Linked DNA regions of Mus musculus. The protein of the gene in region 3 interacts with the protein of the main gene of each other region in a biochemical or structural test. Links are inferred from orthologs where the notes say so. Each region holds a gene or a part of one and is shown on either strand. Other genes may lie near its edges.

The links.
Region 1: the proteins of Col1a1 (region 3) and Thbs1 form a complex in vitro, tested with the Homo sapiens proteins (2 studies listed by BioGRID). The link is inferred for Mus musculus from reciprocal best matches to the Homo sapiens genes COL1A1 and THBS1.
Region 2: the proteins of Col1a1 (region 3) and Sparc form a complex in vitro, tested with the Homo sapiens proteins (2 studies listed by BioGRID). The link is inferred for Mus musculus from reciprocal best matches to the Homo sapiens genes COL1A1 and SPARC.

The regions. Positions count from the first base shown.
Region 1 is NC_000068.7:118,109,406-118,115,517, reverse strand, and holds the start of Thbs1 (thrombospondin-1 isoform 1 precursor), read right to left. Parts: upstream 3,643-6,112; 5' UTR 3,443-3,642; intron 2,904-3,442; 5' UTR 2,876-2,903; coding exon 2,809-2,875; intron 2,549-2,808; coding exon 1,989-2,548; intron 1,185-1,988; coding exon 1,109-1,184; intron 868-1,108; coding exon 665-867; intron 571-664; coding exon 448-570; intron 1-447. UniProt on the Homo sapiens protein: Adhesive glycoprotein that mediates cell-to-cell and cell-to-matrix interactions.
Region 2 is NC_000077.6:55,416,439-55,422,669, forward strand, and holds the start of Sparc (SPARC precursor), read right to left. Parts: upstream 3,643-6,231; 5' UTR 3,350-3,642; intron 1-3,349.
Region 3 is NC_000077.6:94,933,712-94,939,891, forward strand, and holds the start of Col1a1 (collagen alpha-1(I) chain preproprotein), read left to right. Parts: upstream 1-2,512; 5' UTR 2,513-2,657; coding exon 2,658-2,733; intron 2,734-4,198; coding exon 4,199-4,393; intron 4,394-4,515; coding exon 4,516-4,547; intron 4,548-4,666; coding exon 4,667-4,702; intron 4,703-4,792; coding exon 4,793-4,894; intron 4,895-5,679; coding exon 5,680-5,748; intron 5,749-5,985; coding exon 5,986-6,030; intron 6,031-6,180. UniProt on the Homo sapiens protein: Type I collagen is a member of group I collagen (fibrillar forming collagen).

The DNA.
Region 1 (6,112 bases), on a different chromosome or scaffold from region 3:
TATTAGAGGGAGGCGGGAACTTAATTGAAGTTGTGTCTCAAATTCAGTAACCAGTGATTTGCATTTAAACTTTTCCCGGTGAGCCAGAGATCCGAACAGTGTTAGAAGAATCTGTCTGCCAGAGCTGAATACAAATTAGGGCTGGCCAAAACCGAATGCTTTAAGCGGGTTTTATGTATCTGACACTCAATACTTGGTCTTTGAACTAAAGCAGGTAAGTCATTCCAACGTTTAGATAGATTTGTTCTCTTAGCTGCTCAGCCTGGGGTATTATTAAGATAAACCTTCTGAGATTTAAAGAGGAATTTGCAGATGTCATTACATATTAAAGAAAAAAAAATCACTTTGGTAGCAGGCCAGAGCACATTTAAAAATGTGTGTAGTCATTTACGTATCTCCCGAGACATATGTCTCCAAGTCTTATTGCAGTCTGTGAGTGTCTCTTACCTGGCAGTGACACTCTGTGCAACTGTCTACAGTCCACTCCTCGTTGTTCTTGTACTGGACTCCATTGTGAAAGCAGAGGGGAGGCCGCTTCAGCTCACTGACCAGCTCTCTGTTCTCTTCCGTCTGAAAGGGGAGAAGGCTCATGAGTGTCCAGGCTCCCATGGGACCACCTGTGGTGATTTCCAAGAGCTGGCAAATGGGAGGGGAAGCCACTGACCACTTTTCGGATGCTGTCCTGCAGAGTGGTCACGATGGTGCGCAGGCCCTTCAGTTCCAGGACCATGCTGGATAGTTCATCACAGGAGAGGCCACAGATAGCTTGGAGGTCCTTTGTTTTGTGGCCGATGTAGTTGGTGCGGATAGCAGGGCTGGAACCGTTCACCACGTTGTTGTCAAGGGTAAGAAGGACGTTGGTAGCTGCTAAGAAATAAGATGTAACGTATTCGATAGCTGATTCAAGGTTTCAACAGCTGATCCCACCAGCCTACCCTTCGGGTTCTGGGTTATAAAAGACATTTCCTTTGGAATGACAGAGTGGGTGCGAGCCAACTCTGCTCCCCCTGAGATATTGTGTATGCACCCTACTGCTTACATTAATCAGGGTGCTTTCGGTGGACTTCCCCAGAATTCTCCAAATCTTAAAAAACACAGGGGTACTCACAGCTGGAGCAGCCTTTGTTCCTGAGAATGTCTTCTGGGGTGGTTCCAAAGACAAACCTCACATTCTGCAGCACCCCCTGTGGGCAGAGGACAGACGTGGTTTAATGCTGGGCGTGGGGGTGGGGCGGCCAGTCTGAGTTTGCTTGTGGTGAACGCTCAGAAAGTTTAAAAGAACTTAAGATCATCCTGCCAAACTATCACAGAGACATAAATTGCCGAACAACTTCAAAATCTTAATTGTGTCTTCTGCCAACTGGAGCATTTTACAAAGAATCCAGTTTTCAGGCTGCTTGGGGTACACAGGAAATGGAATTTGATCCCAAGTCTGGAGGACATGATACTCTCCAGTGACAAAGAGTTAATGTGGGCGTTCAAAGCCACGCTTGTAAGAAAAAAAAATATCTGAAAGTTAAGGCAAGTAAGGAGTCCCAGAGGCACATGACTGGACTGTTATTCATGTCTTGCCTTAGATCCATACTGAAAGCACCCAGAACACCCTGCCCAGGGACTCAAATACTGACAAAGTATCCTTTTCATGCCCTATTAAAACTGCTAGGTACATTTGATACAAGTTACTTTCCTAAGGGCACAGGGAGTACCCCATTCTGAAACAGGCTGAGTGTAATAGGAAAACCATTTCTTATCTCTCCTGATAGCTTTGAAAGCATGGGTCCCAGGTCCTGGCACCATTACAACTTATTTCTTATTAGGAACAAAATTTCTCGGGTCCCTATCAAATCTGAAACCCTGGAGTTTTGGGTCATCTGTAATATGATTTAACCAACCTTCTGGGGGTGTCTGTTCCTCTTTACATTTGAGAATCATTTTTAGTCTACCGATATTAATTCCACATAGCCCTTGTGACAGGTAAGAAGATTTACCTGAAAATTGTCATTGACATCTCCCTTTGCAACTCGGAGCCTGGCAACGCTGGCCAGATCCCTGGTGAAGATGCTCTGGATGGGTACATCCAGCTCCGCGCTCTCCATCTTATCACAGTCTATGTAGAGTTGAGCCCGGTCCTCTTGAACAAACAGCGTGATGCTCTTCCACTGGCCAGTGGCCAGGAGAGCTTCCTCCACTGACACCACTTGTTGCTTCCCTGGCAGGCTCAGGCTCAGGTCCAGGGTGCCAGCTTTGCCGTTGGAGACCACACTGAAGATCTGGCCAGTGTTGTCTTTCCGTTCCACAGCCAGGAGTGTGCCCCGGGTCTTCTTCATCTGCCTCAAGGAAGCCAGGAAGATGAAGCCTTTGTCGGCCCACACAGCGTCCAGTAGGTCTTGGAACTTGTCATCCGGCACAGCGGGGATCAGGTTGGCATTCTCAATGCGGAAGGCGGGGCTGGATAGATCTTGGCCCTTCACCAGTCGGCGACCGGGGCCCCTTCGTGCACCTCCAATGAGTTCAAAGATGTCAAACACACCGTTATCTCCCCCAGACTCTGTAAGGAGAGAGAAGACAATCGGCTTTCTAGGCTAGGTATAAGGGGGTAAAGTTCTGGCTGTGAGGAGCCAAGGTGGGAACTCGTGACAATAATGGCAATTATGGAAAGCTGAGCGAGGGAAGCTGCATCCTTATCAGGAGATAAGGACTCCAAGGAAACACAGGAGCTATCGAGAGAGAGAGAGAGAGAGAGAGAGAGAGAGAGAGAGAGAGAGAGAGAGGAGAAGGGGGAGGAAAATGAATATATCACAAACTCACCTGGAATGCGGTTGCTTCCACACATATGCAACAGGAACAGGACACCTAGTCCCCGCAGGAGCTCCATGGTGGAGCCTTTGTGCCCAACACGGAGCCTGTAGCAAGAAGCACAGGAGGCCAGAGTCAGAGACCAGGAAGCAAGGTGGAAGGGCAGAGGTGTGTGTGTGTGTGTGTGTGTGTGTGTGTGTGTGTGTGTGTGTGTGTTTCTTCTTTTGCCCCATATGTGCTGAAAAAGAAGGGTTTACTTTCCAAACGGTATCCAGTATAAAAAGAGCGCCAGAGGCAGGGGGATTGTTGGAGTTCCAGGATAAAGGGTATAAAGTGACTTGGGTCCGTCCCCTCCCCCCCGCCCCTTTAGACAAGATTACAGAATGTATTTTGGATGGCGACAGTCAGGGGTAACCTGGAGACTACTGGGGAGAAAATCTTGGGGTGTCTTGGAGGTATAGTTTGTGAACCCGAAGGCTGAAGAGAACCAGCTCCGGAAAGTTCTTTCCAGGGGATAGACGGGGCAGGATAAAGGAGTTAGGAAAACCAGAAGGGGAAGAGTAGGAGATGAGGAGTAGCGCTGATCATCTGCAGCCTGGGGCTTTGAGGTGGCCGGCCAGGTGCTCCGCAGAGGCGGGAGGTTTACCTGTGTGCACCGGGGCTCAGTAACCCGGAGAGGTGGCAAAGGTGAAGTGAAGGACAAGGACGCTGAGTCCGGTGAAGACGCTGAGACTGCCGGTGCGCCGGGAGAGACCGTGGCAGAACTGGATAGCAGCTTCGCGATTGCCTGCAGAAGTCCGATGAGGCTGGCTGACTCCAGGCAGTGGCTGGCTTGACTGAGGAGCCCAGGACCTTTTAAAGAGGCAGGAAGCAGGGAGGGGGGAGGGTTCTCGGGGGCGGGGGCGGGGGACGGGGACGGACGGGTTCATTTCTCCGCCCCCTGCTGCTTGGCGCACAGCTCTCGGGCTGAAAGTGAAGGGGGAGACTCCGATCCCGCACAGGAGCCCTGGAACTTGTCAGAAAAATAGGTCTCCGCCCACGCAGCCTTGGCGTACTCAGCCTTTAGCGCTTAGGATCTTGCGCCATGTGAACTGGAGACGTTCTGCATGAGAGTCCCCAGACGCGATGCTTCTTTGGGGACCACCTAAGACCCTTTAGGGAGGCTTTCATTAAAGCACATCTCCTTGAATAATTCCATGACAGAGACGCTTGGGGATCGAGACAGTCTGGTTTAAAAATAAAAGAGGGCAAAAGGTTGGACCCCTTAAAGGAAGCTGCCTCCTGAGTCAATCCTGGTGGGTGGGGGATCCCATGTCATCTATACTTTGCGCTTCACTCCTGTCCCGCACGCCTGCCTTCCGTCTGACTCACTAAGGGTGTCAGCACGGTGTTGCACAGGGCCAGCAGGACCGTGCACGGAGGTCGCCTTCCGACTCACTGTCCAAGTCGAGAGTTTTTTCCCCAGTTCTACTTTGCTTCCTCAGATGGCCGCTTGGGGGCGGTATATGTATTCTGATTTAGGGGATCCTTTCGGAGAGTTTTTAGCGGCATTTTAAGGAAGCGAATTTATATCCCGCTCCCTCAAGGCAAAATTGAAATTGTGTCTTGAAAAACAATTTTGTGCCCACTCGTGTTTCTTAACGTGACTCCCGATAGGAGAATTTGCTGAACCATCTGGCTCCAGGATCTTACACTATTTACAGAACGGACCCGTAGAGTTATAAATTACTCTCTACCTATTATTTTATTTCCCATCTTTCTCCCTAAACAGTTTTTTTTTCATTTTTTCGGCTCCCAAAACCGAGGTGTGGTTTACATTTCTGTGGGTATACACTTTTCCATCAGTAGACTGCTGCCTGATCCTTTGTCTCTGAAGTCTGGTCTCAATGCCATCGGTCCGGAGCCAAGATGACTCCAGCTGCCTGGAATTCCATTCATCTCTTTGGGAAGGGACGTCAGCGGCGGCGATGCTTCTCCAGCTGTGGCCCTGCGTGAGCAGGCTTGGCTCTGAGTCCAGGGATCCAGGTAAAAGCATCACCAAATAAGGATCTTGGCAGAATCAGGGCGGGGCCGGCTGAGGGACAGCTGGGGCTCCCTCCCCTTATCAGTTACACCTGGCTGGACTCCCAAACCTTGGAAACACCCAGGACTTTATGCTCATCACACAGCAATTTCACTTTCCTTGTGTGGGAGGGAGTGTTCGGTGACAAGGTGTGTGAGTGTGCGTGGTATGTGTGCGTACACGCAAGGAGGGGCTTACAGAGTGTTTCCTAGTTACTCCGGGTACACAGCTACACAGCCAGTGCCTCTTGTAGATAAGTACGTTCCCAAGATGTGTTTGTTTATTAGACTTCAGATACTCAGAGCCAGCAGTAAAAGTTTCTACTGGTTGATTAGTCAAGTTAGATTCCTGCCCTTGAAGTCACAGGCCCTGACTCAGCCACTGAATCTGAAGATTCGGGATCATCAGGCAGGCTTGCTCTTCGCTTCCAGTTCCTTCCGCAGGTCCTCTTTGCTTTGTGGAAGGCGATTGCTTTAAATATCCTGCTCAGCACTAATTCTTCCTGCAGGAACCTTTGGGACTGCCCTGGGAGGGCTGGTCTTGAGACCCTCTTTCCTCATGAGTTTTGTACCACAGAGGTGAATGTCAGCGGCCCACAGACAAGAGCTTCTCTCCTTGTGTAAAGCCACCAACTTCCCTAGGCCCAGCTACACCTTGCTGATGGATCAGGAGCAATCAGGGTCTGCCCCTTTGGGCCATGTGCTGTCCAGACTGAGGGGGTGTGGACAGTTTGTAACTTGGCTCCTTTCAACAACACAATACAAGTTTTGACCTCCTCCACACCTTTCAGATAAGGCATTATGGGAGAGCTTTGTTGTACTGAAAGCTGGCAGTGGCCTAGGAGATGTTGAATACAAACATAGAGTCTTTCCCTAAACACAGCATGACAATCCAGCTGTCCTGGTTTGCAGGAGATGAGGTTCCTAGGCAGCTATGAGGTCTCACCCATATTCCCAATCACCACCACCCAAAGTCCCGATCATCATGTGCTGTGAGCAGATGACAGAAATTCAGCACACTCTTGGGATGTTGTAGAGAAGCAAGGGAAAAAGCAGGAGTTACTATCTTTAGTAGGGAGAATACAGTCTGTCTGTGTGAGTTCATATGTGTGTGTGTGTATATGTGCATGTGTATGTGTTTATGTGTGTGTTTGTGTATGTGTGTGTATGTGCATATGAGCATGTGTGCATGTATATGTTTGCCTGTGTGTACGCTACCCCCTTCTTGTGTGTGTGTGTCTCCTCAGTGAGTGCA
Region 2 (6,231 bases), about 40 Mb from region 3:
CTCAAACTCACCGAGATCTGCCCTCCTCTGCTGGGATTAAAAGTGTGTGCCACCACCACCCAGCTCAAATTAAAAAAAATATATTGTTAAAATATTTTTTAAGATGTACTTAAAGAATCTCTCTCCCTCTGTGTGGTGTGTGTGCGTGTACATGCGTGCGTGTGTGAGAATATCACTGGAAAAAGAATGTGAGGGTGTGGCCACATCCTGCACTTATTTTTAGCTAGGCTGGTGGTAAAATCTACATATTTAAACTCTGTGCCCCATGTGTTCGCATTTGCCAGTTTATCTCCCCAGACTCATCTGCTGGCCTAAAAGACTTCCACAGGCAAACATGCTTTGCCTCGTATCCTCTGCTGCTTAAAGCTTATTTTCAACACGGAAAGCTGCCGCTGGAAATAGCAAGCCCAGCTGTGCATTGGGCTGCAGAGCCCACAGCTGGATTGAGGATAGTGCCTCCCGAGCCTTCTTCCTATTTCCTCTCCTAAATCAAGAAAGGAGGCTGCTGTTAAACATGCAGGATGCTGCTCCTTCTAAGGAAACCAGTGACTGGGACTGGGTTCATTCAGAGAACATCTAGCTCAGATCATCCCCACCTGACAGATTGGGAAACTGAGGCTAAGACAGGTTAGCGTCTTTCCCAATGTCACCATTGAGCTGTAACCCATGCTTTTGACCAATACCCTCCCTCTCTTCCTTCCTTCCTTCCTTCCTTCCTTCCTTCCTTCCTTCCTTCCTTCCATGTCTGTGTGTGATGTATATATGGTGTGTGTGTGTGTGTGTGTGTGTGTGTGTGTGTGTGTGTGTATGTGTGTAAGCCAGAAGTCAATGTCTTTTTCAGTTGTTCTTTACCTTTTCTTTGTTTTTCTGAGACAAGATCTTTCTCCAAATCCCTCAGTAGTCTGGAATTCACTTATATAGACCAGGCTGGTCTCTACCTCCCAAAGACCAGCCTGCCTCTCCCTCCTAAGTGCTGAGATTAAAGGCGAGTGCCACTAAACCCCACTACCTTATATTTTGAGACAGGGTCTCTTACTAACCCGAAGCTAATGAGTCAGCCAAGTGAGCTCTACAGACTGGCCTGTTTCTGGTAGCACTGGGATTAGAGACATGGGTCACCACACCTGGCTCCCCAGGTGGGGGGTAAGGAAAAAACCTGGCGTCCTCAGGCTGATGCAGCAAGCACTTGATCACCAGTCTTTCTCTAGGGGAGGATGCATTACTCTTGAGAAACTGACAAGAAGATCCCCCAAATTGAAATGAATTTAAGCAATGTATTTTTAAAAATATTCCTGTCACCACTTTTTACTAAGAAGATGTTCTCTGGACCCCAAATGTTGGAGCAGCCAGAAGAAAAAGGACTTTGAACAATCCCCTTTGTGCTAAGAATCTTAGTCTCTTTAGAAGGGAGTGAGGTTGCAAAGTGCTCCCCCAGGGCATGCTTTAGCCCGTTTCATCCTGCCCCTTCTCCGAGGGACTGCTGCTTTTACCCGAAATAGGGAGGAAACCGGAGTTCCGGAAGACAGATTAGTTCAAGGCCAAATGACACTAAGCACAGATCCAAACCCTCTGTCCTGCAAAGGGCAGATCTAGCGAGGCTTATCACAGTCCTGGGGGCCCTGGGACGTGGGAAATGGGGACAGGGCAAGAGTTTGCTGTGGTCCTTGTATCTGGGGCAGGGGTGAGGTGCGGTGGCGGCAGCCGTGGCAGCGGTTTGGGGGGACTGGAACCTAAAGGTCCCTGAGCGTTCCCAGAGTCCCCTCCCAGCCAGTACGCAGAGACCCTAGGGTGGGGGGGTGGGGGAGGTTGCCGTGGCAACTCGCATTCCTCTCGGAGTGAGTCACGGGAGAGAAGAGCCTCTTGGTGGGTGGGGCTTGGAGAAAGTTTCAAAAGCTGACTCCTTCTCCCAGAGCCACCCCACCCCCTCCCCCTCCCTCAGTGCCGCTCTGTCGATGTGGCAGCCGATGGCTAAGTTAACCAGAGTTAACTCTTCCCTCAACCACTTCTTTCAGGTTTAATCCTTGGCAAATACAAATTTGTTTCTATTTCCGAATTACACCTTACACCGTCACACCATTCTGGGGGTCTGCATCTGTTTGGGAATATCTTAAACCTAAAAGCTGTGGACACCCATCATCTCTTAAACACAAACAGAAACACTCATGCACGCGCACTCACATACACACACTAATTCCAGAGACTCTTTGAAGTTGCTTATTCGTAGACCACTTTATAGGCTCAATTAAGTGACCCTGCTTGGGAAGTCTTAGGGGAATTCGGGTACCCCAAAAGCTATCCCTCTTCCTTAGGACAGGAAGGCTACACTCAGGGGAGATGGCTATGTGAGATCGCCCACAAATTGCCTAAAGCTTGTTACCTCATGTAGGGTCCGCATCTCACTCCACTCCCTACACTAGGAAGGTTCTAGAAACTTAAAAGAGTTGTCAGTGGAGACACTCCCTCCCTGCAGGTGTGCTGTCTGTCCCTGAGGCAGATGCCTGATACCTGTTTGTCCCCCTTAGGTGAGGCTTATTTCCAGCCATTCTAGGAGTCACAGGAAGTTTACAGAACAGCTTGGAGCAGACAAGCTTTCAACAGGCTGAGTCTTGGATAGATTCAGTAGTAGCAAGAAAAGTGTCCTGGAGCTATATCTCTCTGTCTCCCTCCTCCCCATCACACCCTCCTCCCTGTCGTCTCTGGATTGTATCAAATTGTTGGCTTTCTCAGATGTCTAGATACGGTAGAAGCAATGTTAATGCCAGTGATGACCACCTCTCAGAATTAGGCTGGGAACAATGGCAACCCCAGGCTGGGAGAGACAATGGCATTTCAGACTGACTGAAATGCCACGGGGTGATGGGGTGGGGGTGGACAGAGATTGAAGGGACCAGAGCCTTCCCAGAGGAACTGACTAAAGGGAATGTCTTGCCTTGGCTGTTTACAGATCTGTTTATCCTTCTTGCAAAGTCCCATTTGGACAACAGTGCTCTGACCCAGAACTGGATGTCTGTTCTCCCAGAATAGGAAGCCAGACCCAACAGGCTGCCAGCCAGATTTTCTCTGGGTTGGCAGTCATGATGGGCAAATGAGGATCGGATTCTCAGAAAAGGAGGCAGCTGCCTCCGAGGGTGACAGAGGACAGACCAGTAGCCTCTGCCACCAGAGAACACAGAGAAAGCGGTCCCCGCAAACCATGGCTATTTTCTGCAGTGCTACAGAGACAACAAGTTCCCCTGTGAGTGAGCAACAGGTTTCCAGCTCACCTCCCCCTGAGACTGGTCATGGGGATGGGGCAGAGAGGAGATGATGAAGCTTACAGAAGGGCAGGGGCTGACAGGGAGGTGCATACCTCGGCACAGGCAGGCAGGCAGGCAGGCAGGCAGGCAGGCGGCAGAAGAGTTCTGGCGGTCTGAAGGGCTGCAGGAATGTGGAGGGGTTTAGAGGCGAGCAGCAGGAAGCCTCTTGGAGCTCTGGGCAGGGTCTGTCTCACCCTCCGCCTCCACTCAAAGGCCCTCCTCCTCCTCTGTCTCCTCCTTCCCCTGGCCTGCCTCCCCCTTCTCCCCAGAACCAAAGCTGTCTTTTCTTTCTCCCTTCCTTGCCTTGTGGTAGGCTGTGTGCTACCCAGACACCCTGGCCCCACCTGTCTCATCTGTTCTGGGGCTCCTGCCTAAACAGACATGAGGGTCAGGGCTGGAACAGCTGCTGGAATCACCTAGAACAGGCCAGGCCTTGTTCAGAGCCGAGGCTGCTGACTGAAGAGTCCTAGACATTAACCGAGAGAAGAGAGAGAGAGAGAGAGTCACAGAGGCACGGCTAAGCCCCTTGTCCTACTTTACACACAGCCAGCGAGTGAACTTGCCTGAGCACTCTCTTGGGCTTAGCAATGTACAGCAAGGCAGAGAGTGCACGCTGGCATGGCAGTGGGGGAGCAAAAGTACCCAGTTTTCTCAGTGCCAACAAAACAAGCTGCCACTGGTGATACTGGTGGCATCATCCTTGATAACGAGGCGAAGTCCCCTCTAGGTCTAGTGGCACCAACCACGGGTACGTGAAGGATTAGAACTAAGCTGGAAGACTTGCGCTGTCAGTACCTGACAAACTCAGAGCAATAATACTGATAGTCAGATCAGAAGCAATAGCAGGGTTGGTGGGGAAGCCACAGGCCTTTCATTTAGGTGTTGTTTGGTTTTGGAAGAGGTCGCACGTAGCCTGGGCTGACCACTCACTATGTAGCTGAGGATGACCTTGAACTATTGATCTTCCTACTTCTATCTACTTCCAGGGTGCTAGGATTACATGTGTGTGCTACCTACCATGACTATTTTATTTAGTGCTGAGGATTGACCTCGGGGCCGGGGGGGGGGCAGGGGGGGGTGTTAATGATTGTTAAGCAAGCATGCTACCAATGAAGCTGCATTTGCAGCCCAGACAGACACACCAGAAGAGGACATCGGACCCCATTACAGATGGTTGTGTGCCACCATGTGGTCGCTGGGAATTGAACTCAGGACCTCTGGAAGAGCAGTCAGTGCTCTTACCCGCTGAGCCATCTCTCCGGTCCCAAGAGGCCATTTTAATAACAGGGGCACAGGCTCACGCAGGGCAAACAGCTTACCCAGTAACACCTGACCAAAAGTGGTCTGAGAACGCTGAGTCTACATTTCAGCCCCACTCTTCTTTGGGGAACATGGACACTCCTCATCTATGCAGCAGCTCTTGACTGAACATTTTGGGCCTGCCTACCTGGGGAGGTACCAGAATAGACGTGGTGGCAGGAGTTTGGGGTGTGGCTAAAGGGATGCACCTCATGTGCAGAACCACTTCCTCAGTGATGCAGACCCCAAGGCTTCTCCCAGGGGGTCAGATCAGCAGAAACTTCCTGAAAGCGTAGATATCGAAGCAGCCATTGAGTTTGGATAACAGGGGACTGGAGAAGGTAAAAGAACAGTCTAGAGATAAGCTTATACACACCAGGATCCCTGCCTTCCCTGCCACGCCCTCATCTACCACACTCCTCCTGCTCTCCAGCCAAAGCAGTTTGGACTGGACCTTTCCTGAGCCTGGACCTTTCTCATCCTTCAGAACTCTATTCTAATGTCACCTCCTTAGATAAGCCCTCCTTGTCCACTCAACATATAAGTCTCCTTGCCTCTCTCACAGGAAGTAGACACCTCAACATCATCTCCCTCCCTCCCATACCGTATAGCACCATCTGCTGCCTTCCCTTGACAAGCAGCCCAGGAAAATGGGGGCTTTCATGCATCTGTCCGAAAGGTTTTTAGTTAGTTTTGCTTTGTTTGTAATCAGTGAGTGGCCTTCCACTATCCCGCCTGAAGAAAACAGAAGGGACTCTTTTCTTAGGGTTCCAGTCTGGGACAGAGACCCTCAGACCTCCTGAGTACCCGCACATTTTTCTGCAGAGAAGAGTTATGGCTTCCTTCAGGTTCTCTCTCCAAAGGGCCTGTGAAGAATCCTAAGGAGACTTTTGCACCTACATAAGACTCCTGAGTCTTCTCCTTGATCCAACAACTGGGAGCTTTAGGCCACCAAATTTGGGGTTCCAATAGACTCCCTAAGCATCTGCTCTGCCCATAGGACCGATGTCTATTTCCACAGGATTGCTTACTGCAGCTCTGGGCATTGAGGAGACTTAAATTAACTGAAGCCTCGTGCTTCAAACTAAGCAAAAAGAACTATACCTAGTACAGACTTTGGGTCATACCAAAGTTAGACCAAAGATAGAACAAGTTCACTTGGAGTGCAAGAGTTGGAAACCTGTTTGGGGCTGGGGATGCAGTTTGTGGGAATGCTACTGACGGTTCCTGGGAGGACAGAGATCCAGAATCTCACCGGCCAGCCAGGTGGCTCAGCAGGTAAAGATGCTTGTCACCAAGCATGAGAAGCTGAGTCCTAATCCGAAGCCCACACAGAGGAAGGGAAGACCCTACAGCTGCTGCAAGCTGTTCTTTTTCTCCTCCCCCCCCTCCCCCGGTTTACCCACTGTGGTGTTCTCACTCCACCCCCTGCCACAAACACACAAACAAATAAGAGGAAAAAAAGAGAATGATTGAAGTCCCCAGAGGATTTGAATTTAGAATTAAAGCATGCCAAGGCGCAGAAGTCCTGCAGAAAGACTGACCCTGATCATGACAGGGGACAGAAGAGAGGGCTGGGCCTCCTGCCTCACTCGGGGCTTCCCAGGGAGGGAAGGAAGAGGCAAAGGAAGCCTGG
Region 3 (6,180 bases):
GCGTGGCGTGGCGTGGCGTTCTCCTCCCTTCCCAGCTCCAACTCCCCCTCCCCCAGTCTCCAGCCCTCAGCCCAGCCAGGGAGGCCCCGCCAGGCTGGGAGGAGACCCCAAGCACATTCTTCCTCTCTCTGTCATGCTGCAGAAATTAAAGACACATCTCTGAGCTGGGCACCCGCCAATCGTTTCAAGTAGAGAGTGGCAGAGGAGGTCCTGAGCTGCAGCTCCATGCCACGTGTAAAGGAAGCTTGGAACCCATTGCCTTCAACTCCTGGGGCAAAGGCCTGGAAATCAGACACAGGGTGACGGCTGTCACTGAATGCACACACACCAATCTCCCCCACACCCATTCTAGTGGTCTCCAAGTTTCCATCAGAACCTCAGGCCCTTAATGTAGCAATCACCAGTTCATACCTGTTAGGCTCTTGTCTCTTCTTCCAGGTGAGCCTTGGGGATGCTAGATTGGGAGCAGGGAAAGGGAGCTTTGGATAAGTGCTTTTCTGATACAAAACCCAACAAAGGGTGAGCAGATCACACCGCGCGCGCGCGTGTGTGTGTGTGTGTGTGTGTGTGTGTGTGTGTGTGTGCGCACGCTTCGTGGCATTCTACCCTGGACACAGCCACCTCAAACACCTGTTCCCTCTGAGGTACACCATCCTTGTCCACTGTTGGGGAGTGGGGCATCCTTTGGAACTGACCACAGTGGAAGGCAGGACTTTGGTGAGTTCCGGAACTACCATCTCAGCATCTCAGCCCCAGCCTTGCCCTACAGGCACTGGCATTAGGCGGGGGCAGATCCTGGGCCACAAGTTACTGCCACATGGTTGGGATAATTGATGAAGTCCTGTCCTTCCATTGCTGTCTCCAGCTCTGCTTCTCTGGAAACTCTATATTTTCCCTTTAATTATAGCCCCTGCAGTCTCCCTCCGCCACCCCACCCGCACTGCTCGGCCTAGCTGCCCACGGCCAGCGACGTGGCTCCCTCCCCTTCTGTTCCCTTGGTCTTTTTTTTTTTTCCCTTTGCCTTCGTTGCACAAAACTAGCTCAGGGAGGGCGTGAAGGGGGGGGGGGGAGCAATGGAATCTTGGATGGTTTGGAGGAGGCGGGACTCCCTGCTTCCACGTTTACAGCTCTAAAGAAGCCGGTGGGGGAAGTGATACAGGATGTCTATGGGCCCTGCAAGGAGACCCCAGTGCCTTCCCACACCACCCACACAGTTTGACAAGATGAAGTTCCTAAGCAGATTGGACAGAGCACCTTTGCAGGGTGCAGGGAGCACCGGGGAAGAACGGACACTGTCTTTTAGCGACAACTTTAAATATAAGCTGCTGTTCTTGGGGGACTACAGATGACCCTTTCCTGACGGCAGAGGTGGGGAGCAATGGCCAAGATTTTCAGCAAAGAAGTGAGGACATGGGAAGAAACCATTAAATAAAGTCCCTCAGCTACCAAACACAAGTTTCTGCCACACACTGAGTTCACCTAGGTGTCCCCAGACCACATCCAAGTACAATTAGAAAAGAGGGCTCTCTGTAGCTTTGAGAACACCCCTCTATGGCCAAGTACCTTCTACCTGTTCATTCTGCATTGATATTGCTACATAAGAGGGCCTCTAACAAATCTCTGGCTGTGGCCACAGCTGACACAAGACCTTTTTCTAAAACATCCCTGGTCACAGGCTTCCTGCAACAAACTCACATCCCAGTGCTGGGATGGAGGAGGTCAGAGAAGAATTTATACAACATGCCCCAGGCCCCAGCTTTGAGGACCCAGAAAGCCCCCTGCCCACACTGCTGCTCATCACTTAATGCATAAGCATTCTTCTGGAAGGACAAGGATGTCAAAGGTCTCCCCAAGCCTCAGCCTCAGAGCTGTTATTTATTAGAAAGGTGTGTCTGGCATGGCAGAACAGATAGGCACCCCCTTCCTTTCAAACCACCACATATCTGACTCTTAGTATCTGTGAAGAGATGTATAACTGTTCACAAATATTCCTACCCTCCATTCCTGGGTCCACACCATGAGGTGATCCCCTCCCTCCAACAGGCACATCTGCTTAGCTGATAGGTTCTAATCAGATTAATCTAACTTATTCCTTAGTTCTTCCCCAGGATGCCTGAAAGATTACTAGGCATGGCCAGGAGGACCTTTTCCCAATTATTCCTGACACTGATCCCTTTGTAGTGTTTCCCAACTCAGATTCTCAGTTCTACATCCTTCTGATTTGAAGTCCCAGAAAGAAAGTACAAGGGGTATTCTCTACCCACACTCAGTATACTGAGGGCCCAGCCACACTCCAGTGACAGCACCTCTGGCCCATGTAGATCTGGGGGGCAAGGGCGGCAGAGTTGCGGGAGGGGGGGCGCTGGGTGGACTCCTTTCCCTTCCTTTCCCTCCTCCCCCCTCTTCGTTCCAAATTGGGGGCCGGGCCAGGCAGTTCTGATTGGCTGGGGGCCGGGCTGCTGGCTCCCCCTCTCCGAGAGGCAGGGTTCCTCCCAGCTCTCCATCAAGATGGTATAAAAGGGGCCCAGGCCAGTCGTCGGAGCAGACGGGAGTTTCTCCTCGGGACGGAGCAGGAGGCACGCGGAGTGAGGCCACGCATGAGCCGAAGCTAACCCCCCACCCCAGCCGCAAAGAGTCTACATGTCTAGGGTCTAGACATGTTCAGCTTTGTGGACCTCCGGCTCCTGCTCCTCTTAGGGGCCACTGCCCTCCTGACGCATGGCCAAGAAGACAGTAAGTTCCAAACTCTGGGGAGTTTACTACAGCTTCTTGGTATTGCGTTCTGTATAGAGGGGTCCTAGCAGATAAGACTTAAATGGAGGTGCAGGGCTGCTCCAGAGGCAGGGATGGGACGGTGATGGAGAGGAAACGGGATGAGAGAGGTCACCCTGTTGAGCAGATGAGGGGGAGCAGTTCTCAGAAGTGGAGCCTTGCATGAGATGGCCCAGGAAGAAATTTCAAGCACCCATCTGTAGCACAACAGGAAAAGTGGGAATCTGGACACGGGTTGGGGCAGAGTACGTCGAAAATGAAATAAGGCCTCTGGAATAGAGATTCGGAGCTCAAGATGTAAAAGCTATCAAAAAGGCTGCGGGATGATTCATAAGGAAAGATTGTTTGCCCTCTCTGCAGGCTAGACAGTGTTGCTGGGGCCTCCGGGGTGCTGGGCTCTCGGGGGGGGGGGAGGGGACGCACGGAGAGGGCGGGTTGCTGGATGAGAAAGTTTGGCTAGGACTTGACTGGGCGCGGTCCCTGTGCCTCCTGCTGGCCAGCCGAGAGCACTACGAGTCCTGGTACAGCACTTTACAGCGCACAGGCTGAGAAGGAAAACCTGGGTTATTGCGGACCCTCATCTCCAGACTAGGAAAATAAAAGCAGGGATGGATGGGGTAGCTCTGGTCTTTGAAAGAAGTGACCCAGGCCGAGTAAAAGTCGGTCCGCCCCTGCATTGCTTAGTTTTGCCCGCCACCTAGTGGTTGCCTTGATCAGGTCCTGGAGCGGTGGGCGTGGTTAACTCATCATTACTATTTGTAGACTTGACTTCTTTGGCTAAGGAGATTCCAAAGCACTACTGGCTTTGAAGGACCCGGCTTGTCTAGTTAGCAAGTTTTCAAGATTCCTGGGAGCTGGAAATTGGGATGTATCTAACTTTAGGGATACATTTTACTACACTGGACAGGGCTCCACTGAAATCAGCCCCTCCACATTGTAGCCCCGCCCATTCCGCCCCACCTGCCCCGGGAAAGGAGGTGGGACCAGGGCTGAATTTCCCCTTCTCTCCTCCCACCCCCGCCTCCTGTCTCCGCGCAAACCACGTCCCACGAGCCCCCACCTACTGCGTAGGAGCCCTCCTACTCTCCTTCAGCAGGCTTTTTTATTTCATTTGGTTCCCGCGCGCGTGGGCTGAAGTTGTTTGGAAGAAACCCCAGTCTAGAGCTTTGTTTAAATTCCTGAGAACTGGGACGTTATAGTCCTGGCCAGGCGCCCTGGTGCTGTCACTGAACGTCGCCGATATGGAGCAGACCTGCATTTAAGGATTTGAGGGAAGAATATAGGGAGTGGGGGGAAAGATTCAGGAAGTGGGAAGTCTCCGTGCGCCTCTTAGACAGGGCAAAGAGTGAGTAAGGCTGGGATCCCTGGTGCTCCGGGGTAAGGTCTCTGACCCGCACACATCCTGTGTCTCTTCCCATTTGCTCAGTCCCTGAAGTCAGCTGCATACACAATGGCCTAAGGGTCCCCAATGGTGAGACGTGGAAACCCGAGGTATGCTTGATCTGTATCTGCCACAATGGCACGGCTGTGTGCGATGACGTGCAATGCAATGAAGAACTGGACTGTCCCAACCCCCAAAGACGGGAGGGCGAGTGCTGTGCTTTCTGCCCGGAAGAATACGGTACGGTTCTGGTCCTAGGGTTAAGGGAGGTTGGAGTCCCTCCCTCGCCTATGTCTTGAAAGCCTATAACACCCCCAGGTACCTTAGTAAATTTACTTCTAACTGAACGTTTTTCTCCCCAGTATCACCAAACTCAGAAGATGTAGGAGTCGAGGTAATAATCTGCTCCCTACTTTCCTCCCACCCGTCCACGACCCCCACTGTCCTCCAATAAACTGCAGTTTTCTTTGCTTCTCTTAACGGCCTTTTGTTTCTTCATCCTCAACCCCACAGGGACCCAAGGGAGACCCTGGCCCCCAAGGCCCAAGGGTAAGCATCGTATTCTAAATGAGCTGGGAAACTGGAGGGGGCGTGGCTCTGATTTGTGCTCATAGCAGCCCCCTCCGTCTCTTGGTGCAGGGACCCGTTGGCCCCCCTGGACGAGATGGCATCCCTGGACAGCCTGGACTTCCTGGTCCTCCTGGTCCCCCTGGGCCCCCCGGACCCCCTGGCCTTGGAGGAGTAAGTAGATCTTGGAGACCCCAGAGGGGTGTGACTTCCCGTTTTGTTTGTTTGTTTGTCTGTCTGTTTGTTTGTTTTTCTTTGCTTTGGTTTTGTCAGACATAGTTTTCTATTTTAAAATAATTATAAACTTACAGAAAATAGAATAGAATAGAACTTCTATACACTCTTCAACACAACCGCTTTGCCACTTTCTGGGCACCCAGTTCTCTATGTCGCTGTATGTCCTGGACCATTTGAGACATAAGTTGCCAAGAACGTGCCCGTGACTTACGATCTTAAGTGCATTTCCTAAGAGCAAGGGCATTCTATGGAACCATAGCACCAAATTTAATGTTGATCTAGCCTGATTAATATTGCCTGATATGCAATCTCATTTGCAGATTTCACCAATGCCTCCCAAAATGTTCTTTATAGCATTTCTCCCGCCCCCTTCCTGTCTAAGACCGCCAATTGCATTCCATTGTCTCATTCCTTTGGTTCCCACAAATGTAGACTGTTTCTGAGACTCTATGTCATCCTTGACTTGGGAAGGTTTTGAAGAGTCTGGCTGTTGGGCAGAGGGTGTTATTTTATAGGTTCTTCTGTAGTTTGGGATTGTCTGGTTAGATTAAATTCAGTCGAGGTGTCTGGTACAGGAATATCTTACAGGCTATATTGCTGTCTCCCTGAGTTAATTACTTCCGGAAGCCTACATCCGTTTGTCCCATTACTGCTAATGCCTCCTGGCTTTCAATTTACCATCCAGAGTCCAATTTCTCACACATTCTCTCTTGTTTTTCTAGAACTTTGCTTCCCAGATGTCCTATGGCTATGATGAAAAATCAGCTGGAGTTTCCGTGCCTGGCCCCATGGTGAGCCACCAGGGGGAGCAGTGACCACACAGAGGATAGGCATCCCGAAGAGAAAGGCCAATGATGTCCTGCAAGGGGGTGGTACAGATAGCTTGGGAGGTAAAGGCCACCTTAGGGACTTGAGATCTACAGTAGATGCAAGTCAGACAGTGATCCCCACAGGAAGAGGTAGAAACAGATTTCTGCCATACTGCCTTTATTCACAGATATCAAAAGCCCCTCTTTTTCCTTCTGTAGGGTCCTTCTGGTCCTCGTGGTCTCCCTGGCCCCCCTGGTGCACCTGTACGTATCTAAGGGTCTTCATGGATCATTTTGGGCATGTACTGTTGCGGGGGTGGGGGAGATGGGGATGAGGGCAGAAGGCTGGTAGACATCTCTTGTAAGAGGGAGACAGCCCGGGAGGAACCTGCCTTTCTGAGCCTATCCTTCTCT